Linked DNA regions of Cricetulus griseus. The protein of the gene in region 3 interacts with the protein of the main gene of each other region in a pairwise test. Links are inferred from orthologs where the notes say so. Each region holds a gene or a part of one and is shown on either strand. Other genes may lie near its edges. The genes, in order: Cd82, Adtrp, Creb3, Atp6ap2, Ormdl1, Dram1 and Aqp1.

What was found.
Region 1: the proteins of Creb3 (region 3) and Cd82 interact in a two-hybrid assay, tested with the Homo sapiens proteins (2 studies listed by BioGRID and IntAct). The two-hybrid records come from large-scale screens. The link is inferred for Cricetulus griseus from reciprocal best matches to the Homo sapiens genes CREB3 and CD82.
Region 2: the proteins of Creb3 (region 3) and Adtrp interact in a two-hybrid assay, tested with the Homo sapiens proteins (2 studies listed by BioGRID and IntAct). The two-hybrid records come from large-scale screens. The link is inferred for Cricetulus griseus from reciprocal best matches to the Homo sapiens genes CREB3 and ADTRP.
Region 4: the proteins of Creb3 (region 3) and Atp6ap2 interact in a two-hybrid assay, tested with the Homo sapiens proteins (2 studies listed by BioGRID and IntAct). The two-hybrid records come from large-scale screens. The link is inferred for Cricetulus griseus from reciprocal best matches to the Homo sapiens genes CREB3 and ATP6AP2.
Region 5: the proteins of Creb3 (region 3) and Ormdl1 interact in a two-hybrid assay, tested with the Homo sapiens proteins (2 studies listed by BioGRID and IntAct). The two-hybrid records come from large-scale screens. The link is inferred for Cricetulus griseus from reciprocal best matches to the Homo sapiens genes CREB3 and ORMDL1.
Region 6: the proteins of Creb3 (region 3) and Dram1 interact in a two-hybrid assay, tested with the Homo sapiens proteins (2 studies listed by BioGRID and IntAct). The two-hybrid records come from large-scale screens. The link is inferred for Cricetulus griseus from reciprocal best matches to the Homo sapiens genes CREB3 and DRAM1.
Region 7: the proteins of Creb3 (region 3) and Aqp1 interact in binary tests that used the Homo sapiens proteins (3 or more experiments, as listed by UniProt). The two-hybrid records come from large-scale screens. The link is inferred for Cricetulus griseus from reciprocal best matches to the Homo sapiens genes CREB3 and AQP1.

The regions. Positions count from the first base shown.
Region 1 is NC_048599.1:83,315,531-83,319,243, forward strand, and holds the end of Cd82 (CD82 antigen), read left to right. Parts: intron 1-159; coding exon 160-273; intron 274-1,316; coding exon 1,317-1,517; intron 1,518-1,749; coding exon 1,750-1,833; intron 1,834-2,372; coding exon 2,373-2,450; 3' UTR 2,451-3,213; downstream 3,214-3,713. UniProt on the Homo sapiens protein: Structural component of specialized membrane microdomains known as tetraspanin-enriched microdomains (TERMs), which act as platforms for receptor clustering and signaling.
Region 2 is NC_048596.1:261,457,006-261,460,505, forward strand, and holds part of Adtrp (androgen-dependent TFPI-regulating protein), read right to left. Parts: intron 2,395-3,500; coding exon 2,243-2,394; intron 1-2,242. UniProt on the Homo sapiens protein: Hydrolyzes bioactive fatty-acid esters of hydroxy-fatty acids (FAHFAs), but not other major classes of lipids. Show a preference for FAHFAs with branching distal from the carboxylate head group of the lipids.
Region 3 is NC_048595.1:99,950,819-99,953,571, forward strand, and holds the end of Creb3 (cyclic AMP-responsive element-binding protein 3), read right to left. Parts: intron 2,689-2,753; coding exon 2,582-2,688; intron 2,489-2,581; coding exon 2,420-2,488; intron 1,370-2,419; coding exon 1,285-1,369; intron 1,198-1,284; coding exon 1,113-1,197; intron 1,029-1,112; coding exon 700-1,028; 3' UTR 501-699; downstream 1-500. Other genes in the region: Gba2 (non-lysosomal glucosylceramidase), read left to right, coding at 23-301. UniProt on the Homo sapiens protein: Endoplasmic reticulum (ER)-bound sequence-specific transcription factor that directly binds DNA and activates transcription. Plays a role in the unfolded protein response (UPR), promoting cell survival versus ER stress-induced apoptotic cell death.
Region 4 is NC_048604.1:118,214,884-118,218,383, forward strand, and holds part of Atp6ap2 (renin receptor), read left to right. Parts: intron 1-3,220; coding exon 3,221-3,316; intron 3,317-3,469; coding exon 3,470-3,500. UniProt on the Homo sapiens protein: Multifunctional protein which functions as a renin, prorenin cellular receptor and is involved in the assembly of the lysosomal proton-transporting V-type ATPase (V-ATPase) and the acidification of the endo-lysosomal system.
Region 5 is NC_048595.1:402,678,393-402,681,892, forward strand, and holds part of Ormdl1 (ORM1-like protein 1), read right to left. Parts: intron 3,443-3,500; coding exon 3,291-3,442; intron 741-3,290; coding exon 605-740; 3' UTR 1-604. UniProt on the Homo sapiens protein: Plays an essential role in the homeostatic regulation of sphingolipid de novo biosynthesis by modulating the activity of the serine palmitoyltransferase (SPT) in response to ceramide levels.
Region 6 is NW_023276806.1:154,333,587-154,337,086, forward strand, and holds part of Dram1 (DNA damage-regulated autophagy modulator protein 1), read right to left. Parts: intron 3,262-3,500; coding exon 3,084-3,261; intron 1-3,083. UniProt on the Homo sapiens protein: Lysosomal modulator of autophagy that plays a central role in p53/TP53-mediated apoptosis. Not involved in p73/TP73-mediated autophagy.
Region 7 is NC_048601.1:85,981,956-85,985,992, forward strand, and holds the start of Aqp1 (aquaporin-1), read right to left. Parts: upstream 2,801-4,037; 5' UTR 2,662-2,800; coding exon 2,278-2,661; intron 1-2,277. UniProt on the Homo sapiens protein: Forms a water channel that facilitates the transport of water across cell membranes, playing a crucial role in water homeostasis in various tissues.

The DNA.
Region 1 (3,713 bases), on a different chromosome or scaffold from region 3:
ACCAAATGGGCACTAGGAATTACCAGGAAGGTGGTTGAAATGCCCTGGAGCCATGAGTGTGACCTGGGATTGCTGTGGTGGAGGAGGTGGTGTGTGTCAGCATGAACAGTCATGAGACTCAGGTTCAAGGCCAGCCCTGACCCTCATATCCCTCTACAGCTGAAGCAGGAGGTGGGCAGCATGGTGATGGACATCATTCAGAACTATAAGACGAATGCCAGCAGCAGCCGTGAGGAGAGACTGCAGGAGGCTTGGGACTATGTGCAGGCGCAGGTGAGGACGGCTGGTGGTGACACAGGGCTGCACACCTGCAGTCTGATATCTGCACAGTCAGGTTGTGTGGTTATGTTGCCCCTGGGAATGGGGCACAAGTGCTCCTGGCCCCCAAGTACAGCCTCAGAGACAGCTCCTGGGCTTACAGGGCTGACTCTTGTTTGTTGGCTCTGGAAAGCTGGTCCCTTCTGGTGTCACAGAATAAGCGAAGCCTGCCTTTGCTCAGTGGGACAGATCCCGTGGCACCCACCCCAGGAGGCTCTAGCCTTTCTGTCAGAATTCCTGACACCTGCCCAAGGGGTAGGGTTGAGGGAGGAGGGAGGCAGCCTGGAGTTCATCTCCCCTGTGCATGCTTGGAGCGCCCCCTTCTGGCTGCTGAAGATCCGAGCTTGTGTGTACTAGATGCCCCAGAGGATGTCAAAATGGATACTAGTCCTTCCCGTTTGATCCCTAAAGGGACCCACAGATAGCACCTTGAGCTTCCATCCCAGAGAGGCTTTCTGCCCTCTGGACGGAAGCATTCTGTCCCTTAAAACGGTACAATTGCTCCTGTCTTCTTTTTCACTTTGGCATCCAGGAAGCTCAGGGCCAGATCTCAGGCTTGACTGTCATTGGGCTCTGTGGACCCATTTGTGCACATTGTCTGCCTCACCTTGTAGGGACCTTAGTTTCTGTTCTTCATTTGTGAAAACCTCAGATCATCTTGAAGTGACAGAACTTGGATTTGAACCCAGCACCCGACCCCAGACCCCCACCAGCCAACCTCATACCCTGTGCCGACTGGTCTTGCCCTTGAGCTCACCTCCTCCACTCAGTATGCCTGTGCTAACTGCTTCCCATTTGGGCTCTCTGCTGTGTTTGTAGTTTGTGTTACATCTTAAAAGCCTCTTGAAGTCCCTACTGATGCGCAGCACCTAAGTTCAACCCACACTCTACATCACCCCAGGGGGGCGCAGAAATGGCCAGTCTGAGTCTCCCCCTGGAGGTGGGCGGCTCCCGATGGGCTTAGTGGTGGATCCCAGCCTGTCCCCCACTCTGCACAGGTGAAATGCTGTGGCTGGGCCAGCTTCTACAACTGGACAGATAACTTGGAGCTCAGGAACTCTACAGAGAACATTTACCCCTGCTCCTGCGAGAAGACAGGGGAAGAGGACAACCAGTACATTGTGAAGAAGGGGTTCTGCAAGGTCTCCAACAGCAGCTCGGATGCAATCTTCCATGAAGAGTGGCCTGTGTACCCGGAGGTATGTCAGGGTGGGGCTGGTAGCCAGGAGCAGACCCTCCCACCCTGAGAGGGCAAGTGTTCCAGCCACTAACGCTTTCCCAGGCTGTCACTCACGCATCCTTCTCTCCTTAGTCCCCTCCCTATTTGCTCACACCCTCATCTGCAAGCATATGGGGTTCTGCTCATGAGACAGGGCTCCGGGCAGTCTCCCTGCTGCAGTGCGTGGTGGCTGATGTGGAGTATTCCCACAGGGGTGTATGAAGAAGGTGCAGATGTGGCTTCAGGAGAACCTCGGCATCCTCCTGGGCGTGTGTGTCGGTGTTGCTGTCATTGAGGTCTGTTCCTCCCCCAGCCTTCCCCTGAGCTTTTTGTTTGTTTGTTTCGAGACAGGGTTTCTCTCTGTAGCTTTGGAGCCTGTCCTGGCACTCACTCTATAGACCAGGCTGGCCTTGAACTCACAGAGATCCTCTTACCTCTGCCTTCTGAGAGCTGGGGTTAAATGTGACTACCAGCAATGCCTGGCTTAAAATGTGTAGCCCAGGCTAGCCTAGAACTCATGATCCTCCTGTCTCTGCCTCCTTCAGCAAATCCTACCAGCAGGCACCGTCACAACTAGATCCCTGAGCTTTGTGGGGTTCACATACTCCTCTCCCCTATTGTCTCTGCACTGATGGGCTGAGTGGTCCATGGGCTTCTAGAGGTGCCCTGGCCTCAGGCCATTTAGCTGTGTGACATCAGCTAGGGCTGTCCTTCTCTGGGCCTGCTTCAGCAGCCTGCCTGCCTCAGGTGGTTGTGCCTAGAGCCCGGTGTTGAGCTGGGTGGTAGGGTTCTGGGACCTGGGCCAGCCATCCTGACTTTGACCTGTCCTTTGCAGCTGCTGGGGTTGTTCCTGTCCATCTGTTTGTGCCGGCACATTCATTCTGAAGACTACAGCAAGGTCCCCAAGTACTGAGCTGCTGACATCCTCTCTGTGCTGTGTCTCTCCACCCTCAGTATCCCATGGGACCTCTCTGACTCCTTCCCCCATGGCCTGTGCTCCATCCACCACTAAGGTCTCTGGCCCATCCTGAGCAGGTCATAGCGGGGACTTTCTGGGCCTGGATCCTTCTCCCTTCCTCTCTGCTAGTATGGAGCCCCGGCTGTCCTGTGGCTTACTGTCTAGGGGGGGCTTACTGTCTAGCTTTAAATGGCTCCCAGTGTTACTGTACAGGATGGCTGGGTCCCCACCCTGAAGTCATATTATATTGTAGTAAATTCCAGGGTGGGTGGATGTAACACCATGGCTACCCAGGGACAGGCCACAGGGAAGGTTAGTACCCTGCCCCCCACCCCACCCCTGTGATAATGACACTGTCTTTGTGGGTTTTTCATGTTTCTGTGGGAGACAGAGAGAGTAGACAGTCCTTCACACCTGACAGTCCCCTCACCCCCAGCAGCGCAGCTCAGCAGGGGTTGGGGGACTGCCCCAGGCAGCCTCTAGTAAGCTTCTTGGTAAGGGACCCAATTGCTTAGGGACATGGGTCCCTCAGGTCTGGCACAGGACCCTGAATTGTCTGTGGACCCAGAGAAGGATGAGCTGGACTGATTTTTTTTGGCAGCTCTCCCTGTCCTCTGCACTAAGGGTGGGTGGTTGAGGCTGTGCCTCGCAGGGTGGGGGAGGGGCTCCATGTACTCAGCTCTGAAATCAACTATTAAAGAAGGTTTGTAACAATACAGACTGAGGAGGCGTGTCCTAAATTATGGGGTGGAGAGGACACGGGGATGAACCTGAAGGCATGATGTGGGGTTCCTGTGTTTCAATTCATCTTCACTGGTCCTTCCTCCTCAGAGATCTGGGTATATGTGCTGTAGAGAACCAGGAAGCCAGGACACTTTCTGGAGTGTCGGATTTCTATTAACACTCACATAAGGAAACTTTTTCATAATAAGTAAAGCAAGTAAGATGTGTGACTCAAGGTTTTTGAAATGGACTGTCCCTCACAGCCCCAGCATTCTCAGCCTGGACAAATTCAGAATCAAATGACATGATGAGGAAACACACACACACACACACACACACACACACACACACACACACACAGAGAGAGAGAGAGAGAGAGAGAGAGAGAGGAGCAGATGGAAGGTGGCAGGGGTGGCCAGGTGGGCACTTCTCCCACTCACCTGTGAGGCCCTGAAGCACAGGGAAGGGCAGACTCCAGGGCAGGGACCCTTGCCT
Region 2 (3,500 bases), on a different chromosome or scaffold from region 3:
CTAAACAGCTAGTTCTGGGACAGGCAAGGCTACACAACAAAAAAAACCTGTCTCTAAAAAAAACCAACAAGCTGGGCGTTGGTGGTGCATGCCTTTAATCCCAACACTTGGGAGGCAGAGGCAGGTGGATCTCTGTAAGTTCGAGACCAGCCTGGCCTACAAGAGCTAGTTCTAGGACAGCCTCCAAAGCCACAGAGAAACCCTGTCTCAAAAAACAAGCAAGGGACGGGTAGGGGAGGACTGGTGGGAGAAGGGAAATGGGATTGTCATGTAAAACAATTCTGTTTCTAATTCAAACAAAAAAAAGTTGGAAAAAAAAAGCAAAGCAAAACAAAACAAAACAAAACAAACAAAACCACCACCAACAACAAAAAATGTATTTATTTTTATGTGTGTGTGTGTGTGTGTGTGTGTGTGTGTGTGTGTGTAACTTTATATACACCATGTGTGTGCGAATGCTCTCAGAGGCCAGAGGGTGTTGGGAGCCCCTAGAAATCAGGGTGATGGTTTATGTTTTAATATGTTTAGCAAACACTCTTATAAAGAAATAATTCAAAGCATTAATCATCTTAACACTCAATACAAATGACTAAAACCCCACTGTTCTTAGTAACTGGGCTTTCTCTATCTGCATTTCTTTCCTTCCGATTCCAAATGGATTAGCCCTCTCTCCCTCACTTCCTCCCTCCTGTTTTCTTTTTTACAATTAAAGCTCTTTGAAAGTCGTCAGAAATCTTTACCCAGAAATTCAAGTACCACCAAATTCCTGGAATTAGATGCCTGTACATTTGAAATCCCAATCACTACCCCCAGTGATTTCCCTGCAAACTAGAACTCTGGGTTTGAAATACTTGTTTGAGGATTTTGTTTTTATTTTTGCATTTGAGTTGGCTTTGTTTGCTTGTTTGTAGCATCTCACTTTGAATGTTTACTTTCATAGCAAACACCCCATTTAGTCGCTTTCCGATCAGAAATGGAGGAGGAGTGGATTGGGTTGGGGCAGAGAGAAGGTAGCGGAGGGAATGAGAGGAGAGGAGGAAGGGGAAACTTCTATCAAAATGTAAAATAAATCAATAAATTATTTAAAAGAACATAAACTAAATCTTCCAAGAGAAGCAAATGCAACAAATCCAAGTTGAATATCTCTTTCTCTGAGGCCTCAGCCTGTGACCAGAAGTGGCTCACTCTAGCCCCTTGGGAACTGCCTGCTCTTTGCATCCACAAACTCAGAGAAGGGGTGGGCGATGCCATTTCTGTTTGATGGACCAGAACTGCTGGTAGCTGAATGGGTTGGGGGTGGTGACTACAGGGGATTTTTTTTTTTCACTTTGTTATATACAAACCAAGGTGAATTTCTACATGTCTCCTTGTAGAATTAAAGCAAAAAACATCACCCACAAATTCCAGGAATGTTGTAACAAAATTATCCTGAGATATCTTTACTCCCTTCAATAGCTATTTGTTGCTTATCTCTACATCTGGCCTACCATCTCTTTTGACTGTCACATAAAACCTTTGGAATGAATTAACTTGACAGACTACTGACTTCCACTCTCCCCCAAACTAACAGTCACCAGATAATATGTGAAACCTATAGCAGAGTTTTCCCCATGTTGCTGAAGTCCACAGACCCACTTACCTGCTGTCCCCATCAATGTGCCATGTTTGGTTTAATGCATTCTTTTGTGACTGTCCTTTGTTTTGGGACTGCTTAAGTTCATGTGCCTTCTTCAGTGAAGGAGTAGAATGTCATTCAGGCCAACCCGAATCCTCATTTACCGGGCCATGCTCACTCACATTTGGCTCACAATAAGCTATCTCTTACAGTTTAAAGTGAGAGTCACATTTTTCTAGGACAAAAGAAGCTCACATTTAAGAGTTCGTGTCCTTCAGGCCCTCACTGGGGTGAATGAAGACCCTTATAGGATTTTCCCCCTCATGGCTGGGGTGATAACTCCTTGTTCTTTGGGTCCTAAAGTTTCGAAAGAAGAGTCGGTCTTTGAGTTAAACAAGATATTATTTGATGGAAGAAGGAGACACATGGAGTCTCCAAGGGAATGCCAACTTGCACAAGGCTTTTTTTCTTCTAGCGTTCATAGGACCCACTGAACTCTGTGAACAAAGGCACCTAGCAGTGTGGTCTTCTGGTTTGGATTAAGTTTTCCTTTGGTTTGGGTAGAGGGTAGAGCATGGATAAGAAAGAAGTGTCTGTGGGGACTGTAGATGAGAGGAAAGCACTGACCCCATTTCCAGTGATTAATCTTCTCTCCAAGCAGGTAGATGATGGCACTCAAGATATAAGTGACTGAGAAGAAGATGACAATACCCAGTGGGTTGAGGGAGGCAAACACAGGGTACACCCAGTTTCCGGTCTGAAAGTAGCGCCACAGGACCCTGCATGAACAAGAAGTCAAAATGATCAGGATCACAGAGGCCAGCAAGTTATTTGCACCTCAGGTTCAGTGGGACACTAGAAGACAGCAGGTGAAAACCAGCCTGGCAAATGTTTGTCAGCACCCAAAGTATTCCGGAAGATCTATATAGAAGGAGTCGGTCATCTCTTAGTGCTTTTACATGTTTTAATAAAACATTTTTTTTTCATGGAATGAGTCAACCTTTCCCTTATCTAATACTTTGTGATTCGTCTTGGTGAAAGGATAGAAGGATATAACAGCTTATAACAGATCATCAGCAAAGGAGGGTATGTGAGCACGTGACTTCATTTGCTTTCCTTGAGATGGACAGCTGACTGAGAATTAGACCTGTAAAGATGGTGTCAGTTTTGTTGCCGGCAGCTGAAGGATTGATATATGCTGCTGCTGATTTTGGTACCTAAGAGGACTGTGCAGCTTCTCTTAGCTCTCCAAGTCTTGTTGACACAGGCTGGGTAGCGCTGGTGCATCATCGCTCTAAAACAGGATGCCTGGAGATTATATGTTATCCCTGACTTTAGCTCACAGGAATCCTTAGGGATCCAGCACTAGGTAGGGATGGATGAGTTGGTAGGGAGGCTCAGAATTTACTCATGTGAGGATAGAATATAAGTGGTTTCTGTGAGCCAAAGGAAAGAAAAGAAATGCTGGGAGAGAAGCCATGATGTCTCAGTGAAGACTAAAAATGCTGGGAGCCAACTGCACTGAAGATGCCAAAGTCTAAAATAACTTAAGACACAAAATATGTGTTAAGGGATGATGTCGCCTCAGCTGCAGCTTACAATTGTTAAGTGTATAGAATCTGGAAGAGGATTCTGTGACTGAAATGTTCAGTCTGCCACCTATTAGCTACATTACCTCCAACAATTTATTAACTCTGCTGGTGTAGACCTGGGATCCAGGCAGTATACACCTCAGCAGGAGGCTGCAAGAATGACCGGAATGAAACACCTGTTTGCGACCTATGTATTTCATGTGTAATACATAAGGTAGTGCCTGGCATGTGAGAGTTTGACAGGAGTTCCTAAGCAGCCATGGACAGCACAGCGCTGTTCTCTTGTAAGAGGA
Region 3 (2,753 bases):
TGACTTCTACCTCTCCCCACAGGGTCTGACTCGGGAAGGTTTCCGGACAGCTGAGGGCTGTTACCGCACTGTATGGGAACGCCTGGGCCTGGCTTTCCAGACCCCAGAGGCATACTGCCAGCAGCAAGTGTTCCGCTCACTAGCCTACATGAGGCCGCTGAGCATCTGGGCCATGCAGCTGGCCCTGCAACAGCAGCAGCATAAAAAGGGCAAAAGGCCAGTTGTCACACAGGGCACAAGACTAAGCACAGAGCCTGAACATGAACCAAAGAAATCTTGGACAAACCTAAGCCCAGAGTGATCCCCCTGAACTGTGGAAGCCCAGCCAATACACTGGTCTTTCCTCCTCCCTCCCACCACTCCTGCAGCCCTGAGCCACTAGGACAATCAAGCCCCTTCCCTTCTTGCTACCCAACTGTGCCAGTAAAAAGGGGCCAAGGAACCACTTATTTATTTCTTACCCTCCCCGTTCCTTCCGTGGATGAAATATTCAAGGCCAGTAAATTTCTCCAAGTCTATTCATGGAACAACAGATATACATGAGTATAAATAAAAGACCATAAAACTGTTAAGTATGGTGTGTTTGAGCTCCCAGGCATCCTAATAGGGCACAGGAGCAGAGGCCAGCTCTTTCCCCCATTCCTTTTTATTTGAATACTGACAGGAATCCTCAGGCTGAGGGTACCCCGCATCTCAAATCTAACATGAATGCCTGCCCAGCAAGACAACAGAAGAAGGGCTGTGGGTAGGCAGCCACTCCCCTTTCTTTGAAAGATTTGCCTTCAGGGGATGGTTGGGGCCTGAGAAGGGGGTCTCTGAGGAAAGATCAAGGAATGTCCAGTGCAGGGGTGGCTCTGCCTGAGGCATGCAGTGTAGGAGGCAGGAAGCGTTGCTGGAGGCCTGGAGCATCTGCTCTGAGCTACCCAGCAGCTGGCTTGTGCTGTCCTTCAGTGACTTTGACCGCTGGGCAGGCAGCTTCTCCTGATGACAGTCCTCACTGGGAAGGGCACGAAGCTGACGGTGCAACACTGAAGAGACAAAGCCTTGTCAAGTGACAAGACAGAAGCCACCCTTTACCACAGCCCATGCCTTAAAGGTCCTCAGCCTCTTACCAACATACTCAGCTGGCACACTCCCCCTTGTGTCAGAGGAGTACATAGCAGGTACAAGAAGAAGGCAGAAAGAAAACAGTAGGACCTAGAACACGGAAAAAAGAGATGAAGGGCTCTGGGTCATACACCCCATCTCTGCCAAGAAAATGATCTGCCGTCCCATTCTCCTCACCAGAACACACGTGCTGCCGCTGCTGGTTTTGTTTGCTATCTCAATAACCATGGCCTGAAGTTTCTTCAGTTGATCTAGAAGGGACCTAAGGGAAGAGAGAGGAAACAGTGGTGAGCATGCCCTGGTCTAGCACTGAGTCACAATGAAACTCACCCTACCACCCTCCTCCCCACCCCCATTTAAGCCACTCTCTCCACTGGTGCAGTGGATCCAATCTCTTAACTTCCTTGCCATCCCCCCTCCCCCCCCAAATGACTTCTTTGTGGACCTGTGGTTCCTTATTGAAACAAAAAATAAAAACTTCCCTGCCTTGACTAAAGCTCCTTTGCCAATACCTTCCAGAATTCTCTTAATACGTGATCAACTATGCATGTAATCCCCACCAGGTACTGTGTTCTCTACTTTCTGGGCCAACGCAAACACAAACACTGTCTTCTCTCCACCTAGAATGCTTTCCCCACTCAGCCCCTCCTACCCCCATTGCAACTGCTCTGATGTTGACTACCTCCATTCAGTCTTTTTCTTTTTTTTTTTTTTAAGATTTTATTTATTTATTATGTATACAGCATTCTGCTTCCGTGTATATCTGCACACCAGAAGAGGGCACCAGATCTCATAATAGATGGTTGTGGGCCACCTTGTGGTTGCTGGGAATTGAACTCAGAACCTCTAGAAGAGCAGTCAGTGCTCTTAACCTCTGAGCCATCTCTCCAGCCCCTCCATTCAGTCTTTTCTTACTTCCTCTTTGTCTTGGTACTTAATTTCTTCTTAGCTACTTGGAAATTTATTCCCCATTACTCTGAGCTTGAGACCTGGCAAAGGCCAACCACCAGATTTTTGAATTTAGGAGCAATCCAGTTAGAAGTCAAGGGTGGAATAGTGGAAAGAGTGAGACAGCATTAAACTAATGACAGGACTGGAGAGATAGTTCAGTGGTTAAGAGCACTGACTGCTCTTGCAGAGGACACAGGTTCATTTCCCAGCACCCACATGGCGGCTCACAACTGTCTGTAACTCCAGTTCCAGAGAACCCGACAAACACACAGACATACATGCTGTCAAAACACCAATGCACATAAAAGTAAAAAATCATTAAAAAGATTTTAAAAATTAATGACTATAAATGGTTGCTTACAGATTCTGTTCCTCTAGAATTCGTATTTTGTTCTGCAGCTCCTGGTTCTGGGCTGTGTATTTCAAGACCCTGGAGGATAACATGGATATCAAAATATTGCCTGTGTCTTCCCTTCAAAAGCTTAAGGCTTCCAACTTGTTCCCCATGCTCTTCCTTTCCTACCTGCTCTCCAACCCTCCCACATACACCTTCTTCTTCTTGCGGCTTTCTTGAGCAGCTCTCTTGTTTCGAATCTTTCTCCGTATCCGTTTGAGAACCTGTTCCTCCACCTAAGAGAAGATGGGAAAAAGGTCATCCAAGGTGTATTATTTTTTATATACCCATACATATATAT
Region 4 (3,500 bases), on a different chromosome or scaffold from region 3:
TGAACAGCCATTTTTCAACCAGGAAAATGTAATTGCGATATAATCCTAAATACTTGATGAGTTAAAGAGGGAGGAAATCACCAGAAATTTCTAAATTACTTAGAACTGAATAATGATAAATGTTCAGTATATTTAAAAACTGCACAGTACAGTTGAAGTGGTCTGAAGCGGAGCTTACAGCCGTGAATGCATGAACCTGCATTTAGATTTCTAAGTTTGGACATTAATGAGCTAAAGAAAGCAGAAAAGTTTTCAGAGTAAATGCAAATAAAGTAGGAAGAGAGAACAATAAAGATCAAATGGTAGATCTTTTCGCCAGGACTATTTATTTCTCTATGTGGTTTCTGTGAAGATCACCATGTATTTCATTTATGTATAAATGTAGAAAATCCGGGACACCATTTAAAGCTTAATAGCATAGATAAAACCACAAATTTGTTTTTTGAGTCAAGATCTCATGTAGTCCAGGTTGGCCTTGAACTCTGTGTTGCCAAGGCACATACTGCCAGTGGATGTGGAGCTAGGAATGGAACCCAGGTCTTCATGTATAATAGTGTCTAATAAGCACCTTACCACACTGAACATTTTGAAGCAGACTAGCCTCACTTTACATGAGCGGGAGCTATGACAAACGCTCACTTTATTAATTGACCTTGCTCGGCTACCTGGAATTTTCTTGGAAGAAAATGGAGAGATAGAAGGCTCAGAGAACAAAGCCCACACAAAAATCTAAAGGCAGAACTACCTTCTAATTCTACTTGGCAAGGCTTCCTTTTGTCAGCTAGTTGTAGTTTCAAGTGATACTGATGGAGAAATTCTTGGACAAACATGCATAGCTGCCTAAAACAGTGTGGGAAAAGTCACCATGTTCCAGTCACCCAGGCTTTTTACCCTTTGAGCTTAGCAGTCTATATAATTCTTTTTCCTTCCCAATCTGATATTTAACTCATTCATTAGCTTCTCCAGGTTGATTGCTCCAGGCATATCCTTCAGTCATTAACTTTCCTCAACCCAAGTGCTGCTCCATTAAATCAGTGGTTCTCAACCTGTGGATCTCAACCCCTTTTGGAGGTTGAATGACCTTTTCACCGGAATCACCTAAGACTACTAGAAAACACAGATGTTTACATTACGATTCATAACAGTAGCAAAATTATAGGTGTGAAGTAACAACAAAAAAATTATAACATAGTTGGAGGTCACCACGACATGAGGAACTGTACTAAAGGGTCACAGCATTAAGGAAGGTTGAAAGCCACTGCACTAGGTGAAATGAGGTGTTTCCACCCAAACCTGAGGAGGTGAGTGTTCACAAAAGGCAGGCACTTGCAGAGGCTGGTGACAACATGCTTTTGCAAGCTTGATTGCCCTTCCTCCTCTCTAGTTACCTGTGACCTCATTTTAGAAGTTTGGGAAGAGTTAGTATGCATCTTGATTAAGATAAAAGCAACATGTCTGTTCTAGTCATAGAATCCTGAAATTGATGCTTCAGTTTGGATACTGGTATTTCATCCGTAAGGTTTCTTTACTTACCTTCATTTCTGCCTGCACTGCTTTGGCATTCATTTGCTGCTTATACAGTAACCCTTTAAGTAGTAAACGGAATTACTGGAAGAAAAGTCAGCGAGATAATCTCCATTAAAACAAAACCATTGGGTACAGTGTAATTCAACCACTTGGGAAGTGGAGGCAGGAGGTTCACAAGTTTGAAGCCATGTAATGAAGCTACATAACAAGTTTGATGCCAGTTTGAGCTACTGCTCATTTAAAAATGGGATACTACTGCTTTAAAAAAATCTTTTGTGTTTGAGTGTATTGTCTGCATGGGTGCATCATGTGCATGCCTGGTGCCTGTGGAGGCCAAAGGAGGGCATCTGCCTCTAAGTGGACTCTGGGAATCAAACCTCTGGGAGAGCTAGTGCTTTTTTTTTAGCCTCTTGTTCTTTTAATACTGTAAGATCAGAGGTACTGGGATTAAAGGTGTGCGCCACCACAACCTGGCTTGTAATATCAGAAGTAAAATACTTTTTGAGAGAAAATTTTTGAATGTACTTTTTAAAAATAGAGTAGAACAAAAACAAATGTAGCATAGCATAGACATCCCCATTTTAGTGACCCCAAAAGCTAAAGGGGGGTGCTTTAGGGCATTGCTGGTATTCTGTGTCTTAATCTAGTTGGGTTAGGAGAGTGCACCCATTTGTAAATGCTTGTTAATCTCCTTACTCCAGGGTTTATATACTGTAGTATATGTATGTTGCACTTTAATATAGTCAAAGGGCTAGAGAAATGGCTCAGCAATTAAGAGCACTGGCTGTTTTTGCAAAGGACCTGGGTTTGATTCCCAGCACCCACATAACAGCCAGCTCACAATCATGTTATTCCATATTCAGTGTCCCTCCTCTGGCTTCCTCCAGCCTCAGGCACACAAATGGTACACAGACAAAAATACCCATACACATTCAATAATAAAATAAAAAAATTTAAAATTCAAGCTAAAAAGCAGCCGTTGGGGCCAGCAAGAAGGTTCAGTGAACAATGGCACTTTGCCTTGCAAGCCTGGCAACTCAAATTCGAGCCTCAGAACCCATATAAAGGCAGAATTCTCTGGCAATTCTGTGTGTGTGTGTGACGGCATATGCATACATCAAATAATAATTTTTAAGTCTTTTGATAGGGCTGGGGAGGTGGCTTAGTAGGTAAAGGTTTAAGAGAGAGAAAGACCATAAAGTTGAGTGGGTAGCAAAGTGGATACAATCTGGAAGGAGTTTGGGGAGGGGGAAAAAAAACGTGATCAAAATATATTGTCTGAAAAAACATCACAAAAAAATTGCTGGTGATTTAGTGGAGCCATAAAGAAGAATGAAAAATCATGTCATTTGCAGAAAAAGATGAGCAGAACAAGAAGTGGGAGTGTTAAGCAAAACAAGCCAGATTCAGAAAGTAAAATATTACGTTTTCTCTCATGTAGAAAGCAGACTTCAAAAAGAAAACGAGACAGGCAAAAGGTGAAGAGGGTAGGATGGTAGAAGATGGCCTCATGTTCAAAGTGTATATGGGAGCATGGACTTCATGATGAAACCTACTAATATGCAATTACTATATACCAATAATAATGAAAAATGCTTTTTCCTGCTGCGAGCCCTCTTGCTTATACTGTCTGCATGACTTTTCTTTCCGCTTTATTTCAAACAATAATTGCACTTTTACTCTTGCATTTCAGGCGGTTCCTTTTAGTCTTGACAGTGTTGCAAATTCCATTCACTCCTTATTTTCTGAAGAAACTCCTGTAGTTTTGCAGTTGGCTCCCAGTGAGGAAGTAAGTAACAAAGTTTTTATTTAAGATCCTTATAAAGAAGTGTTACTTAATGACAATTTTAAAGTAATTATATGAAAAAATCTATACAAAGTCTGTAGGTTGGAATAAATCCATAGCAGGCAGTTAACCCAGAGTTCTGGATTCTTCTTGTAGAGAGTGTATATGGTGGGAAAAGCAAACTCCG
Region 5 (3,500 bases), about 300 Mb from region 3:
ATCAGAGTGAGTCATGAAGGTGAACCTTCACAAACTTTGTAATATAATAAAGCAAACATGACCTCATTTATCAACACACAATACTTAGTCAGAAAAACCAAGAAAGTACACATATAAGGTTGAAGGGGCTTGTATAAAATAAGAGGGTGTATGTCATATAAAGGGAATGTGTACAGTAATAAAAACTTGTATACAAGATGATTCTGCTTTATAGAAGTCTGTTTAAACTGACTATAAATGAATGATTGGAGTTTTCCTTCCCTAACATAATGCCCATTCACTATAGGCTGGTCCTAGTTTCTTACAAATCCCTCATTTCTTTGGATTTAGTTACTGTACCCTCATTGTACTGCCATAACTTCTAAGCTGGGCCTGCCCAACCTGTGTGTAGAGCCTCTCTCAGAAATATACCAAGCACATTAGACAGAGGCATCCCTTAGTGGAGTTCTGCACTTCAAGACAGCCTATGAAGGACCAGTACTTGGCCCTCCAATGTAAATACCTCTTATTTCACATTATCACTGAAGCAGTGCAGTTCACTAACTACTCTTTCCCTACTGGAAACGTAGTAGCTCTAAGAATTTTGTTCAGTTGTAGAAACATTTCAATACTTATTAATTCCAAAGATCCGAACACCATGGAGCTGTGGCATTTTGGGAATAAGTACACTCAGAAGAGAAGCTGTGTTTAGGATGAAGTGAGTTGGGTCATACTTCGTATAGAAACTTGCCAGAAAGTATCTGCAGAGATAAAAAGTTAGAATACACATAGCATCCCGAAATGTAGAATTAAAAAATATTATAAAAGGGGGCCACTGAACACAAATGCATAGAAATAAAATCATTCTGATACTAAAACATTTTGATTTGGAATTTAAAAACCGAGTTGCACGTCTTACATTTCTGCAATGTGCATAGGAGCATGCTGTTGTTTAGCATCCCTGAAAGCAGACAGTCTTCACATGCCTATGAGATTTCAAATGTAGATTTGTATTCAGTGGATTTCTAAAAAGAAGACCTGGGTTTAAGCACCAGTATTCTCAAGGGATTCTGTGGCTTACCCAAAGATCATGAAAAACTGGTGTAGAGCTTTGGAAACTAGCCTTTTCGCACATGCATAAGTCAGTATCTTTGAAAAAAACATGTATTTAGTTGCCCTTCTGATATCATCATCTTCTTGCTTTAACTGAGTAGTCTATAACCAGTCAAACTGGAAACCCAGAAGGTGCAGTTGGAAATTCCATATGTTTTGCTATTACAGGTTCACAGAAAGACCATTTCCTCTAACTTTATCATTATTCTCATAAAGGGAGATGTTTTGTATACTGTGGTTAGAAAAGAACAGCTACCTCCACAAGTAAAAACATCTGCCAGAAGAATGTACATGTCTTTTTCAGAACTTTCTAGCATAAGAAATTCTGTAATCTTCCACTTACGCCATACTCCTCACCTGGAAAAAAAATTTAAAAACTATTTAATGTGTGTGAACAGTTTACCTGCATGTATGTCTGGGTAGCATGTGCATGCCTGGTGCCTGCAGAGGACAGAGGACAACAAGAGATCTCCTCACCCCAAAAATGAAATTACAGACAGCTGTGACCTGCCATGAGGGTATTGGGAATTGAACCCAGGTCCTCTGGAAGAGTAGCCAGTGCTTATAACTGGTGGGCAATCTTTACAGCCACTACTTCTTAATTTTTGCTGCAAAATCGTTCTTCATGCTTCCTTTACATACTTGAAGCATTGTATTCAGTAAGCCAAATGACTTGTTGCCAATGCCAGTTTAATTTATAATCTGGCAGAAGGAAAGGATATATCTCGGCATGTTTTTGCCTTATCACACTTTCTTTTAATGAAATTTAATAACACTGTGTATAGAGCTATGAAAATTGCCCCACTCTTAAAATAACCTAGAAGACGCTAGGGAAATGTAATTCCAGGTAGAATCAGTATACAAATTTATTTGCTAAGGTTTATATTAGAAAGAGACCTGCAATAGAAGACAGAAGTTTTCATTTAATCCAGGTTCTTGATTCAAAAGAGCCACAAGATCTTTACCAATGTAATAGATTTGAGTCTGTTTCAGTTTTCTTTCTTTTGAGATAGGATCTAAGTAGCTCTGGCTGGCCTAGAACTTGATATGTAGACCAGGCTGTCCTTGAACCCATTTGTCTCCAAAGTGTTGGGATAAAGGATGTGTTACTCTAGCTGGCTTGAGTCTGTATCTTTATCCAAAAATTTGTGCTAACAGCATGTCACACCAACCTGACAAATTAAAGCAAGTATGAAAGTACTTGTGAAAATGATCATGGCTGGTGATATAACTGATAATAGACTGCAGGGCATCCTAGGTTTGACCAAGTGCCACACAAGGAACCATGAAACAATCAACACTATACAGATGGCCTGAATGATACTTCTTCAGTTATGTGAGGAATTTAATCAGAATGCTTGAAATAATAACTTTGGGTTAAAGTTATATTTTGAGAACCAGGAAGACTGTATATATAGGTAGATCTTAACTGACTTTTTGGTATATCTAATTCCAAATTCAACATATGTCAAGCATTTTTATGTATATTATACTTCAATTTTCTATGTTTACAGATGCGGAGCCTGAGGGTTTTAAGAAAATGGCTAAAACAAAGTCCACAAGGGCCAGGTAAGTATCCTAGTCATAGTGTCTGTCTAGCAAGGCCAATGTCATATAGCTTAAAACCAATATAGCCCAAACCTATATTAAGGACATCTAACTGTCATTCCTGCTATTGCATTTACTTTTGTTAAATTATAAAAGACTTTCCATTTGAGTTTAATTTTACAAGGGATATAACGAACTCATTTCCATAAAATCTGATAAATATAAAGGGAAAAAGTCTATTGCGTTATGATCCTTTCTTGAAAATATTCTCATTTATGAAAACATCTATTCAAAATTTACCTTTCTTACAAAATCTTTCTCCTTACTCCAGACTGCATTGTTGCTTCATTATATATGAAGCTGTATGTGATAATGTTAAAACTAAGATACATGTGATACATAGTATTGTATTCAACGCAACCTATATACTTAGGTAGAAATGGGTAGGATAAAATATTCAAATGGAAGGAATAATGATGTAGGTACTGGGAGGAAAGCAGACACCAGATTCCAGTAGATGCTTTACAAATAATGATTATCATCACCAAATCATTGCTTAGGATAACTAATCTGACATACAATACAGAACATAATAGAGTGTTTACAGTTTCCTTAGCAATCCATGATGTCTTAACTTTTCTACCACTTACAGAATTATTGGAGAAATTGTGAAAAACTTCCGAGAAGATGTAAACTGTACTCCATAGTCGAGCTGTTCCCAGTGGGTTAGGAGCCTTGCTCTACCCTGATCAGGAGTTTCAAAAGGCGTTCCTTTCACTGCATGCAAAAACACATACATACCCTGAAAAGCAAGCAACAGAGGGTATCAAACACAGAGTTTATCCTTAAACATATGCATT
Region 6 (3,500 bases), on a different chromosome or scaffold from region 3:
AACTGTTTATGACAATACAAACACCACTTACACAGTTTTACAGTCAACACAAGCTAAAGATTTAAGGAAATGTATTTCGAGAGAAAGTATGAACATCTTCAGACTAAAACAGGACAAGGAAATAGGGAAGGAGTTGTCTTCAGAGCAAAGGCTGCAGTTTGTTAGTACATTTCTCAGTGTCAGGACTCAGTTCCTCCTTGGTTGAAAATTTTATAATTAAAAATTTCTCCAAGGCTGGGCAGTGGTGGTGCACATCTTCAATCCCAGCACTGGGGAGGCAGAGGCAGGTGGATCTCCGTGAGTTCGAGGCCAGCCTGATTTACAGTTAGTTTCAGAACTAGGAGGAAGAACGTGTAATCTCCACACTCTGGAGGCTGAGAAAAAAAGGGCGGGTGGGGGGTGGGGGGTGGGGTGGGGTGTGGGAGGGAAGGTCATGGCCAGCCTGGGCTACAGAATAAGACTCTATCTCAAACCATAATAAATAAAATCAAAAGCAAAATTGCATACTTAGGCTATCTGATGTAACTTCTATTTTTGGATAGAAACACGGAGCTCAGAGTTTAAAGGACATGATGAGTCATGGAGCTTGACCACTATAGATCATGAACTGGCCTACATTGTTTGCAAAACAGCATCCATTTTTTTTCTGCAATCTAACACAAGATCAAACGGTGGAGAAGTTTCCACCCTTGAAATACCATATCACTTTTATTTTCTTGGTTTAAATACTTCATGAAAGAGAGAGAGAGAGAGAGAGAGAGAGAGAGAGAGAGAGAGAGAGAGAGGAGCTGAGTGTGATCACACACACACCTATAATCATCGCAGCACTGAAACCCAGGCTGAAACTGGTTGGCTACTGGCCAGCAGAAGTTACACAACAAGACCTGTCTCAAACAAACAACACACACACACACAACAGATGTGCAAGCACACGCACGCACGTGCACGTGCACACACACACACACACACACACACACACACACACACACACACACACACGGCGGGGGAATGCTTCCCTTTTCTTTTTTATTATTGAAAATAGATTCTCCTTTGATACAACACATCACCACCACAGTGTCCCCTTCCTCTACCCCTTCCCACCTGAACACCTCATCTCCCCTAGATTCACTCCCATTCCGTTTCCCTTCAGAAAAGAGCAGGCCTCCAGGAGACAACAACTAAACTGGACAAAACAAGACACAATAAGACAAGGTCAAAAGCTGTCACATTGAGGCTGGACAAGGAGGAAACGGGTCTTTAAGACCCTAGTCCCATAGCCCAGGCTCATCCTCATGCCTTTGCCAAGCCAGTGAGCTAGACATAAGCATGTGCCTGCATGCCCAGCTTTCATTTCCTTTAGATCAGAATATATCAGCATGATTAAATACTCATTTCCTTTATTTCAGGGCTAAATTAGAAAACGAAGTAAACTTCATATTGAAAACAAGGTTCGAAACTACAAAAAGGCTCAATGCATTTTGGTTGACTTAGTCGTGAGTGACAGAAGTTTAAAAGGAAATCCTAGGTCAAGTTGAGTTAACCAAACTGTCATGTCTCCAGTAGGCACGGAGTCCAGACTCTTGAGATGTCGCAAAGCTATTTCCTTAAATACAATGCCAATATTTGATGTCTTTAACCAAACACTTTTAAAAAACTAAATATTTTCATATGGCTTGTGAAAATGACCGGTGGGAAGGAAAAGTCAACAGGCTGGAATGTCCTTGCTTTTTTTCTATTCCCAAAGTCTGTTTGAATCTAATACTTCTGTAGTGTGTACACTGTTCTCCTATTTGGTCCTCTGAAGAATATGGACACTTGGCAATTTTTCCTTTCCTTTTTAGTGCTTTAGACATGGGTGTAGAGAGAACATCAGACTTGCTGGGACCAAGATTCTTCGCTTAGCTGAACTATGTAGTCTGAATCCTGACAACCCTTTCTCCTGGGCCCATCTGTTCATGTCAATATAAAAAACAATTTAACTGAAATATAAATTTAGAATATAAAACCAATTTAACGAAATCCTGGTTAAGGTTAGTGTGGTGGTTTAAATAAGACTGGCCCCCCAACAGGCTCATATATTTTAAAGTTTGGTTCTCAGTTAGTGAAACTGTTTGGGAAGAATTCAGAGGTTTGGTCTTGGAGGTGAGTCACTGGGGCTTTGAAATTTCAAAAGTCCTTGCCATTCCCAGTTACCTTCCTCTGCCTTGTGACTATGGACCAAAATATAAGTTCTTAGCTACTGCTCCAGTGCCAAGTATGTCTGTCTGCCACCATGGTCCCCCACACCATTGAGAGTCATGGACTCTAACCCTCTGAAACCATAAGCCCCAAATAAACTCTCCCCTCTGTAAGTTGCCTTGGTTATGGTGTCTCTTCACAGCAACCAAAAAGTAACTAAGACAGATATAAAGTGTCTCCATCACCACCCCCAAAGGTTCTGCCAGGGTCTGGAGGAGATTCTGGAAATGTTAAGAAGTAGGACCTATCGGAAGCAGATCGCTGTGGTCGGTCCTTAGCCAGGGCTGGGGAACTCATGTCCCTGACCCCTTCCCCCACCTCCTCCTGTTCCTGTCTCTCTTCCTCCCCTCTGTCCCTTGCTTTCTCTTTCCTGTTCATAATGAAGAAATTCAGCCTCCTCATGCTCCAATTGCCATAATGCTTTGCCTGAGTGCACCAGTCCAAGAAACCATGGACTGAAGTCTCAAAAACAGTGAACCCAAATTAAACCTTCTCCCCCCATAAGTTGTTTACATCAGGTACCACAGCGACACTGAGTCTAATAACCCATCTCCTCACAGTTGGTATGATCAATCTGGCTAAAAGCCATCTACCCCCAAGCTGTCTGATTGCCCTGAAGTGTCTTGTATGAGAATTATGGCAAGGAAGTTGAGCTACCTTAGTCCTCTTCTACCCAGTGACCCCATGCTGCTCCCTGCTATATAGACTTCCACTTACCCACAAGTGAGTCTCTCTCCCTACTGCAAGACCCCACCTTCAGCAGTCCCTCTAGCTACTGCTATGGCCTGAGTTAGGACAGTCTTCTTCCTCGCCATATTCTTCCAATTGACACGTGGAAAGGATACTGGGGACCACAGCTGCGCAGGAAACAGCAGAGATGGCCATCCGGACATGGCATGTCGTGAGACTGTTCCACTGGGGACATGATTTGTAGGAGATGATCGATTGCAGGAGCGTGTAAACTACACCGCAGACAAAAGCCAGAAGGGCACCACCATCATGGACGACAGGCACAGCTAACTCCTGTGGAGATCACAGATGGGTCTTACTCCATGGGACAGTGCTGACCTGAAGCTGCCAGCACTCGTCCACTCACCCTGGGAGTCTCCCAGCCAGTGGTTCTCAACCTTGCTAGTGCTGAGACCCTTTTAAAAGTGTTCCTCATGTTGTGGTGACTAATCAGAAAATTGTTTTCATTGCTGCAGTGGTGGTGCACACCTTTAATCCCAGCACTCAGGAGGCAGAGGCAGAGGCAGGTGGAT
Region 7 (4,037 bases), on a different chromosome or scaffold from region 3:
CCACCCAGGTTTTGGCAGCAGGGTGGGAGTAGAAGCAGAGGAGCTGCGAGAGCCTTCCCCTGGGACACAAAGGAGTGACTGCCACCTGTTCCACTGACTGCTTGTCCCTCTAAGGCATCGAGGACCATCCCCCAGTGTCTCCAGGTCCAGGATTCAGTGCCTAAGGAGAGCCATTTGGCTGGGGGCCAGACTATGAACTGCATGCCAAAGGTCCATGGTATGGACCGGTAGTAGGAACCGCAGCACAATGTTTGGTCCCTTCCATGTGGCATTTCACTGAGGATTCTCTTAGCCAAGGCCTTCTAGGGTTGGTAATTAGCTCCGACCAACAATATAAGCTGGTAGCATGTGTGTAGCAGAAACATCATCAGAACCTAAGGCCCATCTCGAACCTCAGGATACTCGGCTCCAAGAAGACTCAGTGGTTAACAACAAACAGGCTTCAGGCTAAGGTGACTGTCCCCAAGCTGTCCCCCCATGAGCCTGAAGCCCCTTCTCCTTCAGCTGTATCCTGACTGACACAGATACTGGGGCAACTCTGGAAAATAGAGGGTGCAGAAGCCGAGGTGGGGTTTAGCAGATTCAGGTGCCACCAAAGCAATCACATTCTGCCTCTGTTTTGGATGACATATTAGACAATGCAAAGCCTTTGTCAGCAAGGGCAAAGGTCTTGCCTGTCACTTGACTTGGAAGGGACAAGAGCTAGGAGTCTCTGTCACCTCTTTCCCACAGGGGCCCTTCATCACTTCCATCCTCCCCAGCCCCCACCTCAGTGAGAACTTGAGCCTTCTCAGAGGAATTCAGCAAGGCACCTAGCCCTGCTCCTATTGGAGAGACTGAAGTCTAGAGGGACACGGCCTGTCTAATGCTGCTCCCTGTGCCCGATGCAGCCAAGTTTTCTCCTGCTAAAGTCTAAACTCCAGTCTCAGGGCTAATCTTCAATCTCCAGTTGAGCAGAGGTTGACTTAAAAGTGTGATCCAGAGATGTCACTATGACACAGAAGTACTCATCCCTGCAGTGGGGCCACATCAGCTGCCCTCTGCACCAGACTTTTACCTCCATCCCCGTCTGCATCTCCAGGACCTGCACTTTAGCTGGAAAGTGAAAGGAGTCTACTCACCCATAACCATTCAACTCACGAGAGCCCTGGACCGCTCCCTTGCTCCTGTCCCCATGCACCTGCCCTGCCGGGGTCCAGCCAGCTTCGTTTCTCTGGGGCTGGTTTCTCTACTCTGCCTTTAGTCTTTGCCTCTAGTGAGGGATTCCAGCCTATTCCCCTCTGAGACACCTTCCACCCTTACTCAGACACTCCCACTAAACTTGTCCCCATTAAACCGAAGTGCACTTGGCATAGACACTGAGCTAATAAGAAGCTGGAAAAAAATCTGTGACCAGGCAGCCACCATCCGCCACTTAGCAGTGTGGAGTAGCCCAGGGGCAGTTATTTTGAACAGTTGTCACCATCTGCTTATCATTCAAGCCAGGAACTATGGGCACAAGTGGTTACACACTCAAATGCAGCAGCAACTTGAAAATGGCTTACACAGTTCAGGACCCAGGTGGGCATGTGTACCCCTCTACTTCCACCTCCACACATAAGCATGCACGCCACACCGTTCAGTGGCCAAGGACCGGAGACCTGAGCCTTCTCCTGAACTGCTATCTAGAAGACTCTTCCAACAACTCCGGAGAGTTTTGTTCCTTCACTTTTGTCTAATTATTGAGGGCAGGGGAATGAAAGGGGGCTGTCTCCCGTCTTTCTGGGAAAGTTGATTTGGAGACCTGAGTGCAGATCGGGGCTGCCCAGAAGTCCAGGCAACTTCACAAGGAGATCACACTCAGATTCTTGCAAAAAATGGCTTTCAAACATGTGGATCTGGAGAAAGTGGACTTGGGACAGTAGGTAGAGGTTGCCTCGGGCACAGAGCTGCCAAGGAGGGAAGTGGCTTCTTAGGTAGGACACAGGAGGGTCAGGAAACTCCAGAGGAGGGGTGAGGAACTGCTGGCACGCAGCTTGCTGCCCCCTCAGCTCATTCCTGGCAGTAGATACTCTGCAGGGGACTTTGGCACAACCATTAGTATCTAGCTCTCCCATGCCCACAGCACCTGGCAGCAAACAGACCCTACAACAGAGCTGAGTTCCAGCCCCAGCTCTCGGCATGACACCAGAAACCCTCATCTTTCTCTCTGTTCCTCAGTGTCCCCATTGCACAGTAGGCAAATTGAGCCAGTGCCTTCCTATAGACCACCCCCGAAGCCTGGGATACCCCACTCACGTCATTGCGGCCAAGTGAGTTCTCAGGGAGGGAGGAGGTGATGCCCGAGAGGATGGCAGTGGCGACGATGGCCCCCACACACTGGGCGATGATGTACATGACAGCCCTGAGGATGCTGATCTGACAGCTGAGCAGTAGCCCCAGTGTGACAGCTGGGTTGAGGTGAGCACCGCTGATGTGACCCACACTTTGGGCCAGAGTGGCAATGCTCAGACCAAAAGCCAGCGACACCTTCACGTTGTCCTGGACCAGTGTCTGGTTCCTCTCCAGTGGGTAATTGAAGCCTAGGGCAGAGCCGATACTGATGAAGACGAAGAGGGTCATGGCCAGGAACTCGGCCACGACAGCCCTCCAGAAGAGCTTCTTCTTGAATTCGCTGGCCATGCTGGAAGGGGGCTCGACTTAACTGCTGGATGCCTGGTGCTCAACTCCCTCCAAGCGCTGAGCCACAGCCTGGGCCGGGCCTATTTATAGGGCTGGGTGGGGGGGAGCACAAAGGGAGGAAGGCCTCTCCTTGCTCCTGGCCCGCCCCACACCACACGGGCCTCCTCTGCGATGGATGCAGACAGGGCTCTGCTGTCTGCCTGCCAACTTTTTCCTTCCTCCTCTCCCCCTCCTGCCCTCCCTTGTTCCCTCCACCCGCCTCAGCCCTGGGCCCTGCCCAGCCCGAGGAGGCAGGCAGGAGGCAGCCGTTGCTCTAATAGGCTTTGGGAAATTCTTCCAAGCTGGCCCTTCTCAGGGGGCCAAAGAAATCCAGGTGTCCCCGCCCAGCCTGCAAAGCTCAAGGGTGCCTGAGGGCAGAGCCAGGCACTCTAGAGGGGGTGGGGAATAGGGGTTGACTGGACTCTCAGGATGGACGTTGCCCTCCTTGGAGGTGGCACCCAAACCCGCCTGCCTGTCCCATCCCACTCTGAGCAGTTACTAATCTGAAGTCCCAAGGTTCTGAGAGCCAGTCTGGCCTCCAGTGTCCTGGCCTGGGCCAAGCAGCTGCATATCACTTTGGGGATGTCACCTCACCATCCAGGCCTCAATTGATGGGGGTAGGAAGCTTTCTGGGAGTCACCTAACATTCTGCAGACAAGGATAGGCCTGAGCCAGGCAGGGCTGTTGGAATGCTCCCCCAAATCCTCAAACAATTTTTTTCTCTAATAGGCAATGGAGCTGCCAGGTCACTGGGGAAATAGAAGGAATGGCAGCTGCACCTGAAAATAGGAGAAAGAGAAGCACACAAGGGCTATGGCTAAGAGACAGATACAGAGAGATGGGTGACAGACAGGGCAGAGGGAAGCATTATCTGAGTGAGAGTGGAAAGTGAAGGAGAGTTTTCCAGCCAGACAGGGAGACAGCAAGAAGAGCTAGGGATGTAGCTCAGGCGGTAGAATACGGTCTGGGCACCGGGTTCAAACCCCAGCAACACAGAAAACAAAAAACAATACTTGAGAAACAGGAAGAGCACAAACTGAGGAGGGGACATTTGGCTGAACCAGAGTTGAGATACAGAAACAAAGGAAGAGGGAGGCCAGAGGCACTTCCCAACAGCAGGAGGGGAGGAGGCCATGCTGCAGATCCAGCGCCCACCCTGCTCCCGGTGCACCCCCAGAATCTGGAGTTAAGGACCTGAGAACTGGTCAGTGACCTACTGTGTGAGTGTGCTAGAAGATGAGCCACACCCACAGCAGGGGGCAGGGGACTCTCTCTGTAGCCACAAGGCAAGGCCTGGGATGATCAGGTGCCCTCTCTTCCCACCTTAGTCCTTGGCT